Oryctolagus cuniculus: one gene and its partners. Each later gene encodes a partner of the first gene's protein in a complex. Links are inferred from orthologs where the notes say so. Each region holds a gene or a part of one and is shown in the gene's direction. Other genes may lie near its edges. The genes, in order: IGF2BP1, G3BP1, Y-box-binding protein 1, HNRNPU and ELAVL4.

What was found.
Region 2: IGF2BP1 (region 1) and G3BP1 share a complex: the UniProt entries of both Homo sapiens proteins name them as parts of the TAU mRNP complex. The link is inferred for Oryctolagus cuniculus from reciprocal best matches to the Homo sapiens genes IGF2BP1 and G3BP1.
Region 3: IGF2BP1 (region 1) and Y-box-binding protein 1 share a complex: the UniProt entries of both Homo sapiens proteins name them as parts of the coding region determinant (CRD)-mediated complex. The link is inferred for Oryctolagus cuniculus from reciprocal best matches to the Homo sapiens genes IGF2BP1 and YBX1.
Region 4: IGF2BP1 (region 1) and HNRNPU share a complex: the UniProt entries of both Homo sapiens proteins name them as parts of the coding region determinant (CRD)-mediated complex. The link is inferred for Oryctolagus cuniculus from reciprocal best matches to the Homo sapiens genes IGF2BP1 and HNRNPU.
Region 5: IGF2BP1 (region 1) and ELAVL4 share a complex: the UniProt entries of both Homo sapiens proteins name them as parts of the TAU mRNP complex. The link is inferred for Oryctolagus cuniculus from reciprocal best matches to the Homo sapiens genes IGF2BP1 and ELAVL4.

What each region holds. Positions count from the first base shown.
Region 1 is NC_091448.1:25,217,283-25,221,488, forward strand, and holds part of IGF2BP1 (insulin-like growth factor 2 mRNA-binding protein 1), read left to right. Parts: intron 1-443; coding exon 444-725; intron 726-1,806; coding exon 1,807-1,941; intron 1,942-3,483; coding exon 3,484-3,606; intron 3,607-3,958; coding exon 3,959-4,094; intron 4,095-4,206. UniProt on the Homo sapiens protein: RNA-binding factor that recruits target transcripts to cytoplasmic protein-RNA complexes (mRNPs). This transcript 'caging' into mRNPs allows mRNA transport and transient storage.
Region 2 is NC_091437.1:38,748,450-38,753,345, forward strand, and holds the start of G3BP1 (ras GTPase-activating protein-binding protein 1), read left to right. Parts: upstream 1-1,848; 5' UTR 1,849-4,896. UniProt on the Homo sapiens protein: Protein involved in various processes, such as stress granule formation and innate immunity. Plays an essential role in stress granule formation.
Region 3 is NC_091434.1:59,356,523-59,360,646, reverse strand, and holds Y-box-binding protein 1, read left to right. Parts: upstream 1-1,593; 5' UTR 1,594-1,608; coding exon 1,609-2,622; 3' UTR 2,623-3,144; downstream 3,145-4,124. UniProt on the Homo sapiens protein: DNA- and RNA-binding protein involved in various processes, such as translational repression, RNA stabilization, mRNA splicing, DNA repair and transcription regulation.
Region 4 is NC_091444.1:64,895,258-64,900,240, reverse strand, and holds the start of HNRNPU (heterogeneous nuclear ribonucleoprotein U), read left to right. Parts: upstream 1-1,705; 5' UTR 1,706-1,969; coding exon 1,970-2,660; intron 2,661-3,510; coding exon 3,511-3,622; intron 3,623-3,709; coding exon 3,710-3,783; intron 3,784-4,983. UniProt on the Homo sapiens protein: DNA- and RNA-binding protein involved in several cellular processes such as nuclear chromatin organization, telomere-length regulation, transcription, mRNA alternative splicing and stability, Xist-mediated transcriptional silencing and mitotic cell progression.
Region 5 is NC_091438.1:122,749,968-122,754,675, reverse strand, and holds the start of ELAVL4 (ELAV-like protein 4), read left to right. Parts: upstream 1-1,532; 5' UTR 1,533-1,698; coding exon 1,699-1,779; intron 1,780-4,708. UniProt on the Homo sapiens protein: RNA-binding protein that is involved in the post-transcriptional regulation of mRNAs. Plays a role in the regulation of mRNA stability, alternative splicing and translation.

The sequences.
Region 1 (4,206 bases):
CCGGGACTTGAACCAATACCCACGTGGGATGCCGGCGATGCAGGCGGCGGTTTTACCTGCTACATCATCATCACAGCGCCAGCTCTAAGAGAGTCAGATTTTTTTTTTTTTTAAGTTTTTGGAGTCTGGTTTTTTTGAGCCACCTGAGGTGTGTGGTGTGTCCTGCAGCCAAGGCAGGAGTGCCCTGGGAGATCCATGGTTGTTCCCGGCCTGGAAGTCCACTGACCGCCCACCCCGCCCCGTGCTGGGTGTCACCGAGTCCATGTCTTTCTCCGTGTCTCAGGCTGTTTAGATCAGAAGGGTGCCCAGGGCAGGAGTGGTGGGCAGTGGATCCCCCCAGTGTGTGCCCAGCTGGGGTACCCCAGAGTGCTTTGCGCCAGGAGCGCACCTGATATGACTGGCATGGTGGGGGAGTGACTGGTCCCCTCTACCTCTGTCCCCAGAGCCATCACGAAGCTGAATGGCCACCAGCTGGAGAACCACGCCCTGAAGGTCTCCTACATTCCCGACGAGCAGATAGCCCAGGGCCCCGAGAACGGGCGCCGTGGAGGCTTCGGCTCCCGGGGTCAGCCCCGCCAGGGCTCGCCCGTGGCGGCCGGGGCCCCTGCCAAGCAGCAGCAGGTGGACATCCCCCTTCGGCTCCTGGTGCCCACCCAGTATGTCGGCGCCATCATTGGCAAGGAGGGTGCTACCATCCGCAACATCACGAAGCAGACTCAGTCCAAGTGAGTCCGGGGGCAGGGGGCAGGGGACAGCGGCCGGGACTCAGGCAGAAGTTGCCCTGCACCCTTGGGTCCTCGGGGTCCCTGGGAGGGCCTGGCCGGTGGGGAAGGAGAATGGGCCTGGGGTGCAGCATGGGTGCCAGTGGCTTGGCCATGCACCGCCACCAGCGAGATGTCGCAGGAGGCACTGGGGAGTCAGTACTGGTGTCGGTGGTTTCACGACCACGTAGTGGTGGCACAGGGCTGGCCTGTCTGTCCCGAAAGGCAGGGCCCTTGGTCAGAGGCCATCAGTGTATGTCCTGCCTCCTTTTCCACCCCTTTGAATTCCTTTCTCTAATCTTTATAGCTGATCAGTGTACTCAGTGGGAAAGAACAGGTCACATTAAGTCCTCCTCATCATAAATTCTGTATCTACTTTTAGCTGGGGACAAGGTGGCTGCTGTTTCTGTTGTTTCGAGGGGGGCACACAGTGTTCCAGCGGACATGGAGCCAGTGTTGTGTGATACGTGACATTCTGTACCCAGCCGTATCTGGATCCAGACACTGCAAAGACAGGCTGGCCACAGCTCTCTCTCTGGCCCTGCCTTGGCCCTTTTCAAATCTCTTTCTATGTATATATGATTTATATATATATATATGATTGATATAATTTATTTTTATTTTTTTGAAAGACAGAGAGACATAGAGAGATCTTTCATCCGCTGATTCGCTTCCCAAATGGATACAACAGCCAGGGCTGGGCCAGGCCAAAGCTAGGAGCCCATTACTCCATCCAGGCCTCCCGTGTGGGCGGCAGGGACCCAAGCACATGGGTCATCCTCCGCTGCTTTCCCAGGCACATTCACAGGGAGAGGGACTGGAAGTGGAGCAGCCGGTGCTTCGGTCAGGGATGCAGCATCGCAATCAGCGGCTTAACCTGCTGCACCACGAGGCCAGCCCCCCAGGGCTGCCTTGTGTCAGCCTTGTTTCTAGAAGAACAGGTTCTGTTCCTTGGACTCCTGAAGTGTGTGGTTTTGTGTCGGGGGCAGGGGAAGAGCAGATGTCGCTGGCGAGAACTAACGGGCTCTGCCCTTGCTCGGCTCAGGATAGACGTGCACAGGAAGGAGAACGCGGGCGCCGCCGAGAAGGCCATCAGCATCCACTCCACCCCCGAGGGCTGCTCCTCCGCCTGCAAGATGATCTTGGAGATCATGCATAAGGAGGCAAAAGACACCAAAACGTGAGTCTCCTGCTCCTCCCGGGCCTCAGGGACTGGGCCCCCTCTCCCCACGCAGATCCTGGTGCAGAATTCCTGGAGACAGGGACGTAGACTAAGTGAAATCCTCCTTAGACCCACTGTGGGGTCTCCCAGAAATTCTGTGCTCCCAGGGGGGTGCGTGTGGGTGTGTGCGCAGGTGTTCTGGCACGGAAGATCACGTGATGCCAGGTATGTTGTTCTGTCCACATTTCGCTCTCTGTACCAACACCCGTGTCCTGGAGCCTGTGGACACACCTCGTTTTGTCCTTGGCATAGTGGGCTGGTGTGTGCTCCCTTAAGTAGTCTCCTGGTTCTTGATGGGTGTTTGTGTTGTCTCCGTTCTCCCTGGTTACGAGGGGAGGGCGAGGGCACTTGGAGCTGTGGTTAAGACGCTGATTGGGTTCCCACTTCCTAGTGGAATGGGTTCCAGCCCAGACTCCACTTCTCACGCCAGCTTCATGAATGCGGCGCAGGTCTCTGGGTCCATGTGGGAAACCGGGATGGAGTTCCGGTCTCCTGACTCCACAGAGCCCAGCTCTGGCAGTTCGGGGAGTGAAGCCACAGATGGGAGATCTCTCTGCCTCTGCTTTTGAAATAAGTTAAAGTAAAACAGCAGGCGTGCTTCATTACTCCTATGTTTATTTACGCTTTTGGCCTTTTTTACAGCATTATTGAGGTCAGTTCGTAGACAGTAAGTCACACATTTAAAGAAATATTTATTTAAAAGCAGAGTGAAAGATTTAGAGAGGAGAGAGAGACACATAGAGGGAAGGATCTCTACCCACCGGTTTGCTCCCCAAATGCTCGCAATAACCGCGGCTGTGCCAGGTTGAAGCCAGGAGCCAGGAATTCCATTTGGATTTCCCACGTGAGTAACGGGCTCAGAGGCTGAGCCAGCACCTGCTGCCTTCCCCGGGTGCACGCGCAGGAAGCTGGATCAAAGCTGGGCAGCCGGGACTCCAGCACTGTGATAGCTTGCCGTCGTCCCCGTCAGCGGCTTATACCACCGTGCCACGAAGTCAGCACCCCAAGTGTCCTTGAACCCCCTCAACCTCTCATCCTCACCGCCATATCTCTGTCGCAAAGCCACCTGGGCCTGCTGAGCCATCACTTCTCCTTGTTTTTTTTTTCTTTTTAAATATTTATTCATTTATTTGAAAGACAGTTACAGAGAAGCAGAGACAGACACAGAGAGACAGAGAGAGAGGTCTTCCATCCACTGGCTCACTCCCCAGATGGCCGCAACAGATGGAGCTGTGCTGATCCAAAGCCAGGAGCCACACCTGGGTCTCAGAGGCCCAAGCACTTGGGCCGTCTTCCACTGCTTTCCTAGGCCATAGCAGAGAGCTGGATCAGAAGTGGAGTAGCTGAGATTTGAGGCGGCGCCTTTACCCGCTACGCCACAGTGCCGGCCCAGAGCCATCACTTCTCGCATTTTGTCCTGGGAAACCCACACTGGCGTGGCACGATGGTTGGGTCTGTGTGTCCACCGCTGATGGCGCTCATGTTCCCACGCCTCCCCAGGGCTGACGAGGTCCCCCTGAAGATCCTGGCGCACAACAACTTCGTTGGCCGACTCATCGGCAAGGAGGGGCGGAACCTGAAGAAGGTGGAGCAGGACACAGAGACGAAAATCACCATCTCCTCGTAAGACGCTGTCCCGGAGGGGCGGGGGACCTTCCGGCACACACCCCACACTGGATGCAGAACAGTCGCGGACGTGCAAGGAGTCCTTCTCTTAACGGCCGTGAGAGCTGCGCTCTTGCCACCCCACTGCCCTGGGCAGGACTGCACATGTTGCAAGTAGAGGGGCTTCCTGTGGGAGACCTCATCTCCCCGCCCCTCCCCGGGACAACCAGGGACGCCCCAGGCTGGAGGCGGGATTATATGGCAGAAGTTACACAGCCCACTGAGACGCTGGACTTGTAGCTCCCGGTTCTGGCGTCTGGGCCTGCTGGCCAGCGGGTGGGGGTTGACCCCGCTGTGCTCTTCCTTGCAGGTTGCAGGACCTGACCCTCTACAACCCCGAGAGGACCATCACCGTGAAAGGGGCCATCGAGAACTGCTGCAGGGCCGAGCAGGAAATCATGAAGAAAGTGCGAGAGGCCTATGAAAACGACGTGGCCGCCATGAGCGTGAGTGCCCCGCAGGGCCCTGTGTGGGCGACTCCCCGAGACTCAGCAACAGCCAGGGGAAGCCGGGAGCCCAGGACCGCCGCCTCTGGGTCTCGCATATGGGTGGCAGGGA
Region 2 (4,896 bases), on another chromosome or scaffold:
CAAAAGAAAAAAAAAAAAAGCCAATCTCTTGGTCCCAGACTCTTTCAGAAGGCTTCCTGGGGCTCTCCACTGCCCTCAGATTAAAGTCCAAATTCCTTAGCCTGGCTAACGTCTCGCAGCTTCCTTAGCGCCTGCTCCGGGCCGAGCTCCGTCGCGGCGGGGCAGCATCCGCGGGGCGCAGCCGGTGCCCAAGGTGCGCGGCTCCCACCGGCCGGAGGCGGCCAGGCGGCGGGCATGGCGTCTCTCCCCGCCGCCTGCGCTGGGCCGGCCGGCTCGGCGTCGCTCTCCCGCAGCACGGCCGCTCCACGTGCTTCATCTCCCAGTGTCTCAGCGCAGCCTAACGGAGCCCCAGCCCCCGGTCACATGGCTGCAAGAACGGACCCGGGCGGGTCTGCGCCCAGCGCGCTGCAACCGCGGCTCTTATCGTGTCCGATGCCCGTGGCGGCCAACAGAGGGCCGGGTCCGAGGTCGAGCGCCGTGGGCAGGGCAGGGCTGGGCGGGCAGGCCCCCGAGGGGTCTGAGGAGGAGTTACCTTCACCCGGCGCGGCGGCGTGAAGGCAGAAGCTCCCCGCACCACAGCCACCAGAGCAAGGGGTGACAATGGTGGCGAGGCCGGCGGGCTGACCACAGCCCGCCCAACGATCGCTCCTCGGCGGCAGTGCCGCGGGCCAAGTCGGACCGGAGCCCGCGTGGGGCGCGCGTCCTCCCGCCCAGCGGCCGTCGCCACCTGCCGCCTAGCCACGGGCTCCGGCGTTCCCAACGGGCGCGCCTCGCCGGCAGTGCTGACTCACGGGAAGGGCCAGCAAGTGCCCTCAGGCAGCGCGCGGACATGAAAGAGTTTGATAAGGAGAAGAATTAAATTCAGGGAAACTTTGCCACTTGGCTTCCTGGGTGCCAGACTGTGCGGAAAAGGCGGGAGAGGGAGACCCCAGGGGCCGGACCCAACAACCGAAAGAAAGAGGACAGAAGCCGGAGCCCGGCCCGCCTCTTAATCGCCCCGGAGGGCAAGGCCGCCCTGAGCCTCGGTCTCTTTGGAGAGCGGTTCAACCCCCATGTCAATCAGCTCATTCCGGTGTTGCCATTGGCCAGGTGCTTCCATGGCCTCCAAGTTGCCCACCTCCTAGTTGCTTGGGGTTTACTTCCCCAAAGTACACGGGCCCCACCTTGTGGAGCAACCGCTCCTGCACGGAAAACGGGTCTCCACCCAGGGGATGGAGTGCTAGCCAATGAGAGCATCTCCAAGCATTTATTGGCTACTATGGGTATCAGTCAAAGAATTTCCCACCCTCCTCTCTACTATGCCTTCCAGTTACTGGGCCCTTTGAGTGCCAATCCGTTACTAGGGAAACGAGATCTTCACAGTCTCATAGGTATGTGTCAAAGCCAATCAAGAGCCACGCCCCCATCATGAGGCAGTATCCAATTGCTGTTCGAAGAGCCCAGAGGATGCAGTCGGGATTGGTCATCCACTCGCCTGGCCTGGCTGCAACAAGTTAGGCTGAGTCGCGATTATATAGACCGGCGGCGGAGCACGCGTGTGTGCGGACGCAGTTGCGTGAGCGATTTCTGCTTCTCTCCGTGCGGTGGAGCAAGGCTTGTTCCTCTCCCACTCAGCCGCGCAGGTACGCCGGGGTGTGGGCGGGGCAGGGTACTGGAGGACGGGGACGAGTCGGGGCGACGGCGGGAGAGAGGAGAAACCCGAGGAGCTGCCGCGCGGGGCGCGTCCCCCCACCCCCACCCCAACGGCCGCAGGCGCGCGCGGCGGGCGTTCGGGCGCGCGGCGCCGCCTCCCCCCCCCCCCCCCCCCCACCGGCTGGAGCGCGTGGCCGCGTCCGCCGCGCGCGCGTCCAACGGCCACGCGGGGCAAGAGCAGCCGGTGGCGGCGGCCCTCCGAGTCCCGGCGTGACCTCCCGGGCCCGGGGTCCCCGCGTTGCCCGGGAGCGTGTGCGGCTGGCTTTGCGCGCCGGCCCCCGCCACGCGCCATCGGGGGCTTTCTTGGAGGGGACAGCACGAAAGTGCCATGAGAGAGAGTCTCGGAGCTGGCAAAGCAGAAGTGCCGCGCCTTGGTGGCGCCTGCGGGGACGGGGGAGATGCGCGGTCCTCCCCGCCCGCACGGTGCCGAGCGGGGTGTCTGCCCGGAGAGCTGGGTGCCGTCGCGGCCGCCTTTCGAATAGGAGAGGCACGAAGGCACAGGCCCACGGGCGGAAGGGCGGGTAGGGTGGCTCGCTGGCTCCGGGCCCCTGAGCCGGTGCGAGTCCAGGGCACCTTTGCCCCGGGAGCACTTGTCCCTTCGCAAGGCCCCTGCGCGGAGCGCGGCCGGGCCTGAGTGCGCATGGGCTTGCAGGGGCTCGGGTTGGGAGTGGGGCTGCGACAAAGGGAAGGGGTGTTTGGGCTTCGTGCCTGCACGTATTCGTACCGTTGCAGCTTCAGAGAAAATTAGAGGGGCGGGGGGACCGAGTAAAATGCAGATAAGTGCGTGTGTTCCTCATCGGGCTTTAAGCTCTCAGCATTGTGATGGGAAAGTCCCGCCAGCGGGAAGTGAGGCTGTGATTCGACTTTTCCCTTTTTTGTTTAAATCAGCCGATTTTCGGGGAAAAAAAGGGACGTCTAAGAAAATCAGTTGCCGAAAATGAGGTCCAGAGCAGTGAGATTCGAATGTCCCCAGCACCTGTGGGTTGAAATTAGAAATTGGAGTGGAGGACATAGCACCGGTTACAATGTAACCGTGATCCTGCGGGGGTTCTGTGGCTGAGAGGCGCACTGTCGGTATTGGAAGTGTGTCTGCAGGGTTCAGTCCGCAAGGCTCCAGGGTGTGTGCAAGGTCGTGGAAGAAACCTTCCTTACCATCAAGGACTGGAGTTTATTTTTACAGCAGTGTTCTCATATTGTGGACTATTGAAAGCTAGTAATGCCTTGGTCTCGTGAAATGTTTTTAATGTTGCAGGCCCGTATCATTCATTTTGCATCGCAAATACCTGAACTTCAGGCAGAACTAAAAAAAGTTTGAAGATTAGCTCTTTGGACTAATTTTTTTTCTTGAAAGGCTTTTCACTGTTTTGTTTTTCAGTAAAGCTTGTTTCTACAGATCCTTTTTCAGATCTTTAAGGGATTTTTTTGCTGTCAAAGCAGACACAACGTGCATCCTTGTGCAGGGATTAACAATTACGAAGTTTAATATTTGTGTTTCTCTACGACAGGCGCTTTCCCTGTTTCTTAACAGAAGGTAGCAATAAAGGATCAAAATAATTGTAGGGACAAGTTCTTCCTTTGTTGGTGTTGCTATAAATAACACGTTGCTTTAAAATGTAACATTGTTTTATTTGCAGCGTGCTTTGTGTAGCAATTCCAGTTACCTGCATTTGTAGCATGTTAAGATTTAAGGTGAACCATTTAAATCGCCTGATGTTCAAACATGATAATGACGTACATTTAAACAGAGTTCAGTGAACATTATTGCTTGAGGTAAAATAAATATATCAGAATGAAATGATCTTACGTATTGAGGAAAATTTTGTAAATTTTACCTTCAAATACTAAAAAAGTTGTTCTTGACCTCAGGCAAGAAGTGGTCTTGTTGGTCTGGAATACTATGTGATTATTTTGCAAATCAGTACCCCAGCTGCTGATTTGTGCCTTTTATCTAGTACTGGTAAACTGAAGAAATTGTGATAACACAATACCTGTGTCTCCCCACTTCTGGATCAAGGTATAGGTTACTTTTCTTGGAGTTGAGTCCTTTCAGTCTAAGCTTTGTACCTCTTCTCACAGGTAGAAAAGTATGTGGGTCATTGTTTAACTCTTAGCTGGTAGGTGGGGTGGGGGCGACATTGGGAGATTTTGATTTTGTTTGTGACCCGTGTTAATTTATCTTTTGGGTTTTCAAAATTTATTTCAGTACTTTATTTAGGAAGTAAAGAACACAGATTAGTTTTAAATTTTCATAGATTTGTGATGGTGTTGAAATTTCATATAAGACCAATTACTAAAATAAGTATTTTTGTCATAATAAAACTGCATACTTGATCTTTTAACATTTTTGCACAATAGTTTTTTTTTTAATTACAGAATTCAAATAGGTACTGTATCTGTATATATGTAATTACATTGTGCTTTTTGACTTCCTTGGACAGAATTGTATTGACTTTACAAAGGAGGACAATTATCAAAGTACATTTGTCAAAAAAAAAAAAGTCCTTCCACCCCCCACCACTAGTCAGCTGAGGGAAACCTGTACTGTCCTTCCAAGTCCTGGAGTTAAATTTAGATTCAGCAACTGTAATCTCACTCACAGTTAGGGATCACATTGTGGCTGTTAACCAGCTTTATATCTTTTTGAAAAGTCAGCTTTCTCGTTGACCCTTCTTTTGTGAAGCGTTCTTACACACCACTGGGGCCTCACTGGGAAGGCTAAATTGCAAGCCAGGTGGTCGTGTGGTGAGCTAGGAGTAGTCCACATACGAAGAATGAAGAGTCTGCCTGACAGAGCAGAAATCAGTTAACATTTTTTTCATCACAGGCTGTGATCTAGTAAATAAGGTTGTTTTTTATAATATTGCATAGCTTTTTAGTATGTTTGCTGTACTTCAGCATTCTGTGAAAAGTAAAGATTAAAAATGTTTCAGAGAAAAATCTGACTTCCTGGGTGAGACCCCATCGGCTTTGTAGGGATGTGGTCTTTGGTGGTTGTTAACTTATAATATGGCTGTGTAATGGCAACATCAGGTATTTATATAGGCCTTCAAATTTTAAAAGTGCTTTCACACAATTTGAGTATTGTATTTTTACTAAAAAGACTAGAGCTATGCATCCTATATAGTTAGCTAAATTGTAACATAAAGTGTGTGGTAGTAATAGGGTGCTATAGCCAGCTCTTTCTTATTCAGAAAACGTACAGAA
Region 3 (4,124 bases), on another chromosome or scaffold:
GGCCGCCAGGTTGGAATCCGTCAGATTAGCCCGGGGAGCAAAAGACGGGAAGCCAAACCGAAAGGCGCAGACGTGAGCTAGGTTGAATTCGCCAAGTTAGCCCAGGGAACTTAGACTGAATACCGGTGGCGGAAACGTGAGCTAGGCTGTGTGATTTGCGGAAGCTGCCGCGCGCAGAGAGAGCGTGCGGGGCACGAATAGATAGGGAACGTGGGGCTAGCGCAAGGCTGTGGTACGGGTGTGAAGGGGAGCGGAGACCGCGGAGCATGCGCGAAGCCGGGAAGTGGCACAGAGCCGGGAAGCCGCTGCGGGGCAAGGTGCCAAGAAGCAGCCTCGGGGCGGGCGCCGGGATGCCGCAGGGATAAGAGAAATAGAAGTATAGAAGTAAAATGAGAGAAATAGGAATGCTGGCAGATAGAAGTAAAATAGGAGAAATAGGAATGCCTGGAGATAGAGAAATAGAAAGGCCTCCCCACAACACGGCAATGAGAGAGCTTGGATTCGGTCTGCCTGATTAGTAAGACGATAAGCACCTGTGAGCGGCTGCATGTCACCGAAGACAGGCACGTTATCAACACCAATAAGTCTCCCCACAAGACGGCGATGATAGGGCTTGGATTCGGTTTGCCTGATTGGTAGGGCTTGTAAGCACCTGCAGGCAGTTCTAGCAGAGCAGAGCATGCGCTGCAGGGCACCGAACACAGGCACGCATCAGCGCCTAAAAACCTCACAACATGGCGAAGAGAGGACCCGGATTCGGTTTGCCTGATTGATAGGACTTGTAAGAACCTGTGGGCAACTCCAGCAAGCAGAGCAGAGTGTGTGCCACGGGGCACCGAAGACAGGCGCGTATCAACGCCAAAAAATAAAAAGAAAGGGGGATCTGTGGGGAGCAACTCAGACTAGACTGTTACTGGAATTAAGACTTATTCTATGCATCTGCTCTCCCACAATATGGCGCTGGGAGAGGAGTAAACAGCTTCTACTCAGCTGCCTCCAGTTCAACCAATAAACAGCAGGACCTGCTCCTGATTGGAGGAGAGCAGCATACTCGGCGTGTGGGTAGCAGAGTTGGGATTGGTGGAAGAGGACTATAAAGGAGGAGAGAGACAACATGCACCAGGAACATCTAAGAGGAACACCTGTGCAGCCCCCGAGAGAGCCGGCTGGCGGTGTGCTGCTCCCCCGCGGAAGTGGGGAAAGTGGCAGGGGGAACCGCCCTTCCACGGAGGTGGGAGGGACGGTAGCCAACCTGGGAAGAACCAGCAGCAAACCCGGGGAGGGCCGAGCAGACAAAAGAACAGCGCAGGGTCTAGTGTCGTTCCTCCACGAAGACGGGGAGCGACATAATGGTGCCGTGACTCGGATATGAAGCCTAGGCAGGGTTTAGTGTCGTTCCTCCATGAAGAGGGGGAGCGACAGTAGGCTGAAACAGTAGTAGATTATTTAGAAATAGAATTAATGTTGTGTAGGATTATTAATAATGCTGATATTTTGATACTTAAAATGGAAGAGCACTAAAGATAAATCATTGTATGAGGCAACCTCAAAGTTCATGGAAAGTGGAATTTAAAGAGAAGTATCTGGGTACAAACATGTTTGAAATGCATGTTTTTAAAAATAATACACATAGTTCGATCGGTAGCGGGAGCGGAGAGCGGACCCCAGAGAGCCCTGAGCAGCCCCACCGCCACCGCCGGCCTAGTTACCATCACACCCCGGGAGGAGCCTCAGCTGCCGCAGCCGGCCCCAGTCACCATCACCGCAACTATGAGCAGCGAGGCCGAGACCCAGCAGCCGCCCGCCGCCCCCGCCCTCAGCGCCGTGGAAACCAAGCCCGGCACCACGGGCAGCGGCGCAGGGAGCGGTGGCCTGGGCAGCCTCACATTGGCGGCGCCCGCCGGCGGGGACAAGAAGGTCATCGCAACGAAGGTTTTGGGAACAGTAAAATGGTTCAATGTAAGAAACGGATATGGTTTCATCAACAGGAATGACACCAAGGAAGATGTATTTGTACACCAGACTGCCATAAAGAAGAATAACCCCAGGAAGTACCTTCGCAGTGTAGGAGATGGAGAGACTGTGGAGTTTGATGTTGTTGAAGGAGAAAAGGGTGCGGAGGCAGCAAATGTTACAGGTCCTGGTGGAGTTCCAGTGCAAGGCAGTAAATATGCAGCAGACCGTAACCATTATAGACGCTACCCATGTCGTAGGGGTCCTCCACGCAATTACCAGCAGAATTACCAGAATAGTGAGAGTGGGGAAAAGAATGAGGGATCGGAGAGCGCTCCCGAAGGCCAGGCCCAACAACGCCGGCCCTACCGCAGGCGAAGGTTCCCACCTTACTACATGCGGAGACCCTATGGGCGTCGACCACAGTATTCCAACCCTCCTGTGCAGGGAGAAGTGATGGAAGGTGCTGACAACCAGGGTGCAGGAGAACAAGGTAGACCAGTGAGACAGAATATGTATCGGGGTTATAGACCACGATTCCGCAGAGGTCCTCCTCGCCAAAGACAGCCTAGAGAGGACGGCAATGAAGAAGACAAGGAAAACCAAGGAGATGAGACCCAGGGTCAGCAGCCACCTCAGCGTTGGTACCGCCGCAACTTCAACTACTGACGCAGACGCCCAGATAACCCTAAACCACAAGATGGCAAAGAGACAAAAGCAGCCGATCCACCAGCTGAGAATTCGTCCGCTCCCGAGGCTGAGCAGGGCGGGGCTGAGTAAATGCCGGCTTAACATCTCTACCATCATCCGGTTTAGTCATCCAACAAGAAGAAATGAATATGAAATTCCAGCAATAAGAAATGAACAAAAGATTGGAGCTGAAGACCTTAAGTGCTTGCTTTTTGCCCATTGACCAGATTACTAGAACTATCTGCATTATCTATGCAGCATGGGGTTTTTATTATTTTTACCTAAAGATGTCTCTTTTTGGTAACGACAAACGTGTTTTTTAAAAAAGCCTGGTTTTTCTCAATACACCTTTAAAGGTTTTTAAATTGTTTCATATCTGGTCAAGTTGAGATTTTTAAGAACTTCATTTTTAATTTGTAATAAAAGTTTACAACTTGATTTTTTCAAAAAAGTCAACAAACTGCAAGCACCTGCTAATAAAGGTCTTAAATAAAAAAAAAATAATACACATTATCCATGAACTTTTTGAAGATCCTTTGTACAGAAGCACAGGGTGGTAGTTGAGGGTATGAGTTTGAACCCTTCCTCCCACTCTTGGTAGTGTGATGTTTGTGTCCTTGTTTCAGATTCCCCATTTGTAAAGTTGGAATGATGATAATACATATTTCATTGTGATGTCATGTGTAAGAATTGTGAATAGTAAGTGTATCATAATTATTAGGGATTAAAGAGTAACTTTTCCTCTAAGTTATGCTTGCTAATATGTCAGTTGGGCTATATTTTTCTGCTGCAGTTATTAAAAGGACTTGTGTAGAGCTTTTGTAGGATTTTGAAGAAGGAATAAAGATCCCTCGCAGAGACCTTGAACCTAGAATCAAGCTCACAGTGACCCGGTTTTTGTAGAGTTCTGAGGTCCACTAGTGAGTCAGGATCAACCTAGATTTATGAAATTGCAGCCATGGAGTGTGACACTACTCCCTAAGAACATTTATCTCTGTGTTGAACTTCATACTAGACTAGAATTAAATAGAATAGAAGTAAAATAATAGAGGACAGAAGTGGTTGGCCTTTGTAGGCTGTTATTGTGTATGAACTAAAGAGCGTGATTATTAGTGGTCATTGGATTTGGATAAGCCAGTCTGAGACCATGATACTAAATTTTTTTTTCAAAATAAAATATTTTGATAATTTTGATGTTTAATACATTTTACTCTTGCTTGCCACCGTACAGGCTGGAGGAAAGGTCTTGGGAATTTTGTGCTTTCACATCCTGTGTGACCTTTAAAACTTGGCATTTTACTTTTCACTACCCAAAATTACTTGCACGTCTATTAAATTTCTAAATATCAGTTATCATTAAGAAACGCCACCACCATGCTTAATTACTTGTGTAATCAAGGGAGATAATATAATATAGTAAATGTTAGTCTAATGGATTTAGGGCTTGCTAGGAAAATCTAAGAGGCCTTTTGGATTAAAGA
Region 4 (4,983 bases), on another chromosome or scaffold:
CCATCCAACTCTCAACCCTCTGCAAAGCTCTGGGAGATGAAGTCATGGAAACTTCTCATGTGTACCAGAAGTAGTAATTCATTTATTAATATAAATGGTTTAATAATCATCTAAGAACAATGTAAAACTCTATTATGCTTATATAAGCTTGGTTTTCATAGTTTTTTCTGTGTTAAATGGAAATTGTTTCCTTCTGACTAAAATTTAAAAACATAAATTAAATCTGAGGACACATACACATTAGAGGACCATCGACATAATTGCACTTAACTCTGATTCATTAATTACCCAGTTGGAGAACATCGAAGCCCCCTGCAGCTCTCTTCCCAATTCTGAATGAGAGCAAGGAAGAGTTCAAATTCGTCTGTGGCTTGTTGGCAAGCTTCAGCAACATAGCCAAAGGCCAAGTGAATTTCTGACACTATTTGGACGCTTCTACTTCCGGGCTGTCCTAGTCCCCTCTGTTAATTTGAGGATTACCAGTACTGCACACTATTAATCTCAACTCAAATAATCTCACGGATGTCAGTATTTCACCTTATGCCTGAATACAGGGTAAGACACATTTCTTAAAAACTGTTGAAAAGCAGCTTTTAAAAACGAACATTTGTGGATCAGTTACATCACCTCAGCCTACGGGACAAGATTTGCATTTCTGTACTTCCACATTTCAAATCAATAGCACAGCAGTCTTTTTGTGCAGCAGGTCTCTTTCCTCATTCCCACGGGGATCGCTGGCCTGGCACTGTGGGGACGCTGGGGGATTAGGATGCTACCCCGGATTGCCACTCTCAAACTTCAACCACGATCCAATCACGGATTTCTTTTTGAGAGCGAGGTCTCTCATGGCCCGTCTGCCAGACTGTCGCCCTGTTCCATCTCAGGAGCCTTTGGTTTGGGCACCATTGGGTCCCCGCGGGGACAGGGAGAAAATCCACGGGTGGCAGGTCCTAGCTGCGCTTCGCCCTCCTCACCGCACGCCCGGGCCTGAATGACAAACATCAGGCCCCACAGAGGCCTCTGCAAGGCCACTGACGCCATGCGTGTGGCTGCCGCGAAGAGCGCGCTTTGCGGATGCAGACCGGAGGAGGGGAGAAGCCGCTTTCCCAGGCCCCGCACCGGGGGCTGCCGAAGACACAAAAGAAAGGCTTCCCGAATTTAAAAGGCCATTCGCCAGGCCGGCTTAGAAAAATGAAAGGAGATACGAGGCCGGAGGTGGGGGGGGAGAGGGGGGGAAGAAGGGACGAACCAACTCTCCGTGTGCTGACTGCCAGGCTGGGTTAGACAAGCCAGAGCGGAAATAAAATCCCGAGGCGTTTTAAAACGGTATAGCAGGAGGGGCACCCAGGACGGCAATACTAAGATGGAAGAAAAGGTGGAGGGGTTCGAGCTGAAAACGCCAAGCTGAGCTCTGCTAGCATTTCAAGCCGAGCAGCCGCCCAGGCTGGGAGGCCAAGAGCAGAACGAGCTCCCTCGGCAGAAACCCAGTGGACTTTGCAGCGGGCCGGTTAAACCGAAAGGCGGTTTCCTTCTCCTCCATTTGCTCGGCACCCAATAGGAAGCGCACTGCGCGGCCTGTGCCGCGCTCCCGACCCGGGCCTCGGCGTGGGGGCGGGGAGGCAGGGACGGTGCTGGGCGGGGCCGAGCGCGAGCGCGCTCCCGCCTTCCTGCTGCGCGGCGCGCCCGTCAGCGCGGGGGGCGGGGCGGCTATATTACGTGCGCGGCGCCGCCCCTGCGAGAGGACGTTGCGTGCTCGCTCGCGCCAGGCGAGTCTCCGCGTCTCCCTCGCGAACTCGGTGAAAGGAATTGGCGCCGTTCGACACCAGGCGGGTCCTCTCTGCAGCACGAACCCACCTCCAGCCGCAGCCGCCGCCCGGACCGAGGAGCAGCCGCAGCAGCCGCTACCAGTGGCCGAGTGAGCGGAGCCCAGTCCGAGCCAAGCTCCCTGCCGCGAATCGGGGCCCTCATCATGAGTTCCTCGCCTGTTAATGTAAAAAAGCTGAAGGTGTCTGAGCTGAAAGAGGAGCTCAAGAAGCGGCGCCTCTCCGACAAGGGCCTCAAGGCCGAGCTCATGGAGCGACTCCAGGCTGCGCTGGACGACGAGGAGGCCGGGGGCCGCCCCGCCATGGAGCCCGGGAACGGCAGCCTAGACCTGGGCGGGGATTCCGCCGGGCGCTCGGGAGCAGGCCTCGAGCAGGAGGCCGCGGCCGGCGGCGACGACGACGAGGAGGAGGAGGAAGAGGAGGAGGAAGGGATCGCCGCCCTGGATGGCGACCAGATGGAGCTAGGAGAGGAGAACGGGGCCGCGGGGGCGGCCGAGTCGGGCCCGATGGAGGAGGAGGAGGCCGCCTCGGAAGACGAGAACGGCGATGATCAGGGCTTCCAGGAAGGGGAGGACGAGCTCGGCGACGAGGAGGAGGGCGCGGGCGACGAGAACGGGCACGGGGAGCAGCAGCCTCAACCGCCGGCGGCGCCGCAGCAACAGCCTCCGCAGCAGCGCGGGGCGGCCAAGGAGGCCGCGGGGAAGAGCAGCGGCCCCACCTCGCTGTTCGCGGTGACGGTGGCGCCGCCCGGGGCGAGGCAGGGCCAGCAGCAGGCGGGAGGTAAGAAGAAGGCGGAAGGCGGCGGAGGAGGCGGTCGCCCCGGGGCTCCGGCGGCGGGTGAGTGCTGCGTTGTACGTTGCGCGCGGCGGGAGGCCCGCGTGGGGTGGGGACCGGGCCCCCGGCCTGCCGGAGCCCCCCGCTGGTGGCTGGGTGGGCGGCGGTGGGGGGAGGGAGGGGTGCGGGGAATCCCAGATTAGCCGAGAGGCCTGGGGCTCGGGGTGTGTGTGTGCGTGTGCGTGTGTGACGGCGGTGGCAGCGCCTCCATTATGTGGCTCGGGAGCCGGGGCGGGGGTGGGGGCGGGGGAGCTGCAGCTGCCGCGGGAGGGGGGGAGGAGCCCCGTCGGCCCGCGGTGGCGCCGCCGCGCTGTGTGTGCGCGCGGTGCGGGCACATGGCTCAGGGCGGGGGGAGGGGAGAGGCCCGAGGTCCCGGGGCGGGCGCGCTTTGGCGGCTCCTCGCCGCGGTATTGTGCAAGGAGCGCAGGGGCTCGGCGTGACGTCACTTCCGGCGGGAGGAGCCGGCGCGCCGAGCGGGGCGGAAGATCCGTACAATGCGGCCGCGGGCTGCGCGGGCCCGGGTGGGGGAGGGGCCGCCGCCCCCGCGCCCCTCCCCCTCCTGACCGCTCGTCGGGATCCACGTGGGCTCGGGGCCTCCGGCGCGCAGTTGCGCTTAAGCTTTCTTGAAGCCTCCGGTAGACGGGCCGAATTAGTAACGTCTTTAGGCTGCGTCACTAACTCCAATCCAATTCCAAGCTGATAGTTTGAATTCACATTCGACCTGGCGGTTCAGTATTCACCCAAAACTCATTAATTCGATGCTTTTAGGCAACTTGAAATAAAAGCGGCTTTTTTTTCTTTTGGCGGGGGTGTTGGGTGGCTTGAGCACTTATGAGAGTGTCGTGTGTTATAGGAGACGGCAAAACAGAGCAGAAAGGCGGAGATAAAAAGCGAGGTGTAAAAAGACCTCGAGAAGATCATGGCCGTGGATATTTTGAGTACATTGAAGAGAACAAGTACAGCAGGTAGAGGATGCTAACGGATTGTGCGTTGTTGTTGCCCGTTCTCCGTGGGTGGGCAGAGACGTATCAGGAGCCCATTCTGTCTTTCAGAGCCAAATCTCCTCAGCCCCCCGTTGAAGAAGAAGATGAGCACTTCGATGACACAGTGGTTTGTCTTGATACTTGTAAGTGAAGCTGTTTCACCCGCTCCCCCACGCAGTCCTCAAATGCCTTGGGTTTTTTTGACAATGTTAGATTGCAGTACGTTTAACCTAAGTGCAGAAAACATGTACAGTTTTCTAAAAAGCAAAGATAATGATTGATACCCAGAGTGCAGTAGTTTAATATTAATATGCCATCAGTTGTGTTGAATTGATTTTACAGGCTTTGGCAATTTTAATTGTAATTTAAAGCTTCTTATTCTTGAATGTGAAATTGATGCCAATTTTGGACTAGTTAGCTAATGGAAACTGTTAACGTGTCCTACAGTAATTTCCTTTTATTTTGGGATTGTTAAGTCAGCTACTTGGGCTGGTTAAATACTTAACTGATGACTTTTCCCATTAGCACTCAAGTATATTCCCTATTCTAAAAGACTGTAATACTATTTCAATAACTGCTCTTTTGTTCTCAATTCCAGTTCAGTAGCTGCTGCTTTAACATAAGTTGATTTCTTCCAAAGACCTGGGGCAGCAGCAGTGGGCCATCACTGGGCCACTAGCTTTCTTCAGCAGCGAATGGTATCAATGGCAGCACTGTAAATACTACGTTACCCAGTTGGGTTGCAATCGAGTATGCGGAATTATTGCAAACCTTTAAATGGGCCGTGGCTGTCAGATTTTACTTAAATTACGTTGGGTTAGCGTTTGATCAGAATAGGATGCACCAGTCTTTCCAGTGTGAAATAGAACCAAGAGTAGAAATCGTACTTGAAAAGTTAAAATGTCAAGTTGCTCTGGTAAGGCGGAAGTTAGATTCGGATGCTTCCTTGTACAGATTGTTGATTCAGGTGATAAATGGTGATACCTCTGATTTCTTACTTGAATACCCTGTACAGGTAGTTAAGAGTTGAGTCTTTGGGAAAAAAATGCATATGGAAAAGGTGGCTTGAAATTTTGATGTCAAAATCAGTTGCTTCAAGTTACTAGCAGTTACCAAGATGCTGAAGCACTGATTACAGGAGCAACAACAGCTTCTTGAAATCATAGTTCTATCAGTGATCAGGAATTTCAGGAGCAAAGCTAATTTAAAAGTTCCGAACTGTAGGTTTCCTGTCCTGTAAAAAGGAAAAGAGCCAGCTTTCTACCTTGACTTTAGCTGTCCCTCACGTGACCCAGAGGTAGCTAGATTAAAGATGCTTTGGATTTGGATGACCTGATTAAGAG
Region 5 (4,708 bases), on another chromosome or scaffold:
GCCACAGCTCAATAGGCTAATCCTCTACCTAGCGGCGCCAGCACACCAGATTCTAGTCCCGGTCGGGGCACCGGATTCTGTCCTGGTTGCCCCTCTTCCAGTCCAGCTCTCTGCTATGGCCCGGGAGTGCAGTGGAGGATGGCCCAAGTCCTTGGGCCCTGCACCCGCATGGGAGGCCAGGAAAAGCACCTGGCTCCTGCCTTCGGATCAGCGCGATGCGCCGGCTGCGGCGGCCATTGGAGGGTGAACCAACGGCAAAAGGAAGACCTTTCTCTCTGTCTCTCTCTCTCTCACTGTCCACTCTGCCTGTCCAAAAAAAAAAGAATGGAGAAATAAAAAGAATTTATTCCTGAAGGGGTTCAAGACTTAAACTGAAAACACAATCTTAGAACATCGTTTACTGTCACAGATTTTGAATTTCACTTCATATACAGTCATGGAAAGGATGTGAGTGGGAGTTACTTCTTTTCTTCAATTTAATCCTTAGAGGAAGTAGGTGTTCAGCCTAGCAGGTACAACATCTGCATCCCACATTAGAGTGCCTGGGTTCATCTCTCAGCTCCAGCTCTTGACTCTAGTTTCCCACCACTGCGGAACCTGAGAGGTGGTGGTGATGGCTCAAGTAGTTGGACTCCTATCACCCACAGGGGCTACCTGGATTATGTTTCCAGCTTCTGGCTCTAGCCCCCGCCCAGTCTGGGCCATTGTGGACATTTGGACAGTAAACCAGTGGATAGGAGCTCGCTCACTCGCTCTCTCTCTCTGCCTCTAAATAAATGAATAACTCACCTATGGGAAAGGGTTGTAAGTTAATCTGATCCCATGACTGCTGTTTTCCAGGCCCTGTACTTTCATTTCTTTAAAAAAAAAAAAAAAAAGCAAACAACTTTTATTATGAAATAGATAACAGGACTTTTCTCTTTCCACATGAGTCTATGTATTTCAAAGCTTCACCAAAAATCATAAAAGGTTTTGCAGGTTTATGTGTGTAGGTTTTGTGTGTGGTATACAAGCTCTTAGAAGGTATTTTCTTAGTTTTAGACTATGCTTATATGGGAAGAAATATATTTATAAAAAGGGAGAAGGCTACATTTTGGAGAAAGGAAAGTATAGGAGATACTTCTCTAGATTTTAGACTAGAAAAATCCAATTCTATTAATGAAGGGCCAAAAGGAGATAATTGGGTGAGTGATTTGAGCAGGCAAATGGGCAAAATAAGAAGCAGATGTATATTCTTAGGATTGTGTTGCTAGGTAGGTGTTTATATTTTTAAAAAATTGGAACTTCATCTATATTTAAGACAGTACTTGAATCTTGAATTTATATTTCTGGCTTAAGATTTGCCACAAGAAGGAAAAACTTCAAGTTTAGAAGAGCTTTACTAAGAACTCTTAAAAAGATCTCTAGTTAGTGAATTTTGGAGACATGGGTTGGTGTAATCTTGACAGTACACTTCCTGAGGTATACTTCAGGTTGTGTCAGTTTTCCTAGAACAGAGGAGCAGTTTACATTCTAGAACTTTGATTGTTCTAACAGATTTGTGACCATAGAGATCATATCTCATATTCACTTAGCCTTATATAATATTTGCTCTATGTTGTCAGTTTGATCTTGTTAATGTAACTAAGACAGGTACTGTTAACCCCTTTTTTCAAAAATAAAACTCAACTGCTTGCTTCAGGTTAAATATTTAACAATATGAAAAGTCTTCACTCCAGAGTATCTGGGAATATGTCCAGGTTGGCCAAAGTTCGCCTGTCTTGGGTAAAGGAACAAAAGGTAATTCCCTTTCTAGATCTAAATTTTCCATGCAGTTTCAGGAAATGTATATTGTATGTTTGTTGTATAGGAAGCACAATCTAGTTGCCTCCTAGAATGTCATGTTATTTAATAGATATTATAATATGTATTAAAATATGAGTATCAATAAGGATAATGACAAACAAAATGTAGGCAGTGTTTTGGCAGAGATGGTACAATATACAGAAGAGGGAGATACTTGTTAGAAGAAGAAGACAAGGCTTTATGGAGGAAATACCTTTTGAGTTGAGCCAGGAAGCTGGATTAGCAGAAGAATTATAAGCAAGGTGGATTCAACATAGAAGGAATAGTATTAATGAAGGCATAGAGATGGGAACTTAACAAGGCTTGTTTAAGGAATTGTAAGTAGCTTGGTGTGAATGCAATATAGGCTGTGTAAAGGTAAAGCTAGAGAGACAGTTGTAAAAGTTATGGTTTAGGAAGGTTCAGTATTTTAACTTGGTTTCTACTTTGGATTAGTAGCTATGAAATGTTTTAGATCAAGGACTGTTGTTTCCTGGTTGTTTCTCAGGGGCTAGACCTCTCTTTTTATTAAGTGACAATATCTCAGAAGTAAAAGCATCCTAAAGACTTTTCTAAAGTAAATATCAGTTACTTAGAGAGCTAAGAATTGGCATTAGAGCATTCTTCTGAACATACTGTGATGTTACGATGATGACAATCATTGGTGAAGTCACATTGAGGACTACTTTTAGGGTTACTTGTCAGAAAGCACTAGAATGAAAGATACCAACTTTTATTCAGATGGTAAAGAAATGTGCCATTAGAAGAGTACACTGTGTGCTCTAGCCAACAGTTACCAGTGCTCATTCTGTAGAGTAAATGATGGTCAAAGAGAAGGTGGTAGTGGGTGCGGAATTAGCTTATTTCCCCCTATATTAAAAAATACCCGCTTTAGGGCCCAGCACTGGTGTAGCATGTAAAGCTGCCGCTTGCGATGCCAGTATCCCGTATGTGCGCTGGTTTGACTCCTGGCTGCTCCACTTCCAATCCAGCTCTCTGCTATGTCCTGGGAAAGCAGTAGAAAATTGGCCAAGTTCTTGGGCCCCTGAACCCACGTGGGAGACCTGGAAAAAGCTCCAGGTTCCTGGCTTCCAACTGGCCCAGCACCAGCCACTGTGGCTGTTTGGGGAGTGAACCAATGGATGGAAGACCTGTTTCTCTCGCTGCCTCTGCCTCTGTAACTCTGCCTTTCAAATAAATAAATAAATAATATATAAAATACCCACTTTAGATTTACAAGTATGTGTACTAAGTCACTTAACTTTTCTGATTTTGGTATTTTTAAAAATTATTTGTTTTCATTTTATTTGGAAGGCAGAGAGGCAGAGAGAGATCTAGCTGCTGATTCACTCCATAAATACCTGTAACAGCCTTGGCTGGGCCAGACCAAAGCCAGGAGCCAGCAATGCCATCCTGGTCTCCCACATGGGCGGCAGGAGCCCATGTACTTAAGCCATCTTCACTGACTTCCTGGGCATATTAGGAAGCTCAATTAGAAGTGAAGCAGCCAGGAATTGAACCAGCACTTTGATATGTGATGCAGGCATCCCAAGCAGTGACTTGACCACAACACTCTGACCTCTAAGTTAGGTCTTATCTGATGACCTTCAGTTAGCATTGGAGGGCAAAGATTGTGTCAAATGCCTTCTTATTTCAGTGTCTGGTACATAGTGAATACTCAGTATGCATTTATTGAGTTGATTTATCATAATCATAATATCATAATTTGGCTTTTATGGGGGGTGGGGGTTGTTTTTTAAGTTTCCTTAACTTCAGAGTTAGAAAACTTGTGAATCTTAGATCTGTCATTGACTTTTGGGAGTCCATTTAGCCCAAGTCACCTATACTTTCTGAGATTCAGTTTCTTTTTTTTTTTAAGATTTATTTTTTATTTATTTGAAAGAGTTACAGAGAGATGTAGAGACACAGAGAGAGGTCTTCCATCTGCTGGTTCACTCCCCAGATGGCCGCAACAGCCAGAGCTGCGCTGATCCGAAGCCAAGAGCTTCCTTCGGGTCTCCCATGTGCATGCAGAGTCCCACGGACTTGGACCATCTTCTGCTTTCCCAGGCCATAGCAGAGAGCTGGATTGGAAGAGGAGCAGCCAGGGCTAAAACTAGCACCCAAATGGGATGCCAGTGGTTCAGGCCAGGGTTTTAACCTGTTACACCACAGTGCCAGCCCCTGAGATTCGGTTTCTTAATGTAAAATAGAATTAATAAAACTTCAGAGCTTAATCACAGGCTCAGTTGAACTGTATCTTTAATACATGTTAGTGAACAGAATAGCAATATTAGGTTGTGGTTTTGCTTATAGTTGTTTTATTGGGTCTGAACCAGCATTTAAAAAACATTAAAACAATGCAATGATAGAATGGACTGAAACAGAAAAGAAAATATCGTTGAATGGTACTTACCTTAAAGTAAGTATTTTTATTTCATGAATCTTCTGTTTCAGTTACCTTTCGTTCTAAGTTGTGATTTGAAGCTGCTGCGTTCAAAATATCTTACTTTTTTCTTTTTTTTCACTTGTTGGTTCATGACCAGAAAAGTTTGAGAATCACTGTTCTTGCTGACAGTCAACTCTATATTAGCCAAAAGAAAAATAACAGGCTATTATCCTCCAAAGCATTAAAGAAAGGATAAGTTCTGATTGTTTTAGATTTAATATGAAGCATTATATTCTGTATCTTTGGAAACTAACGAATGTGTGCATGGTACATGTTGTCCTATTAACCAAAATATGTATTAACCAGGAAACCTCATTCCTTGGCCATGCCACCTAACTGAATCTTCAAAATAATAATAATAGTGACTAATGGGGGTGACCTAGAGGTAGAATTAGAAATGAGATTTTCTTTCAGTTTTTGAGCTCTTACTCAAAA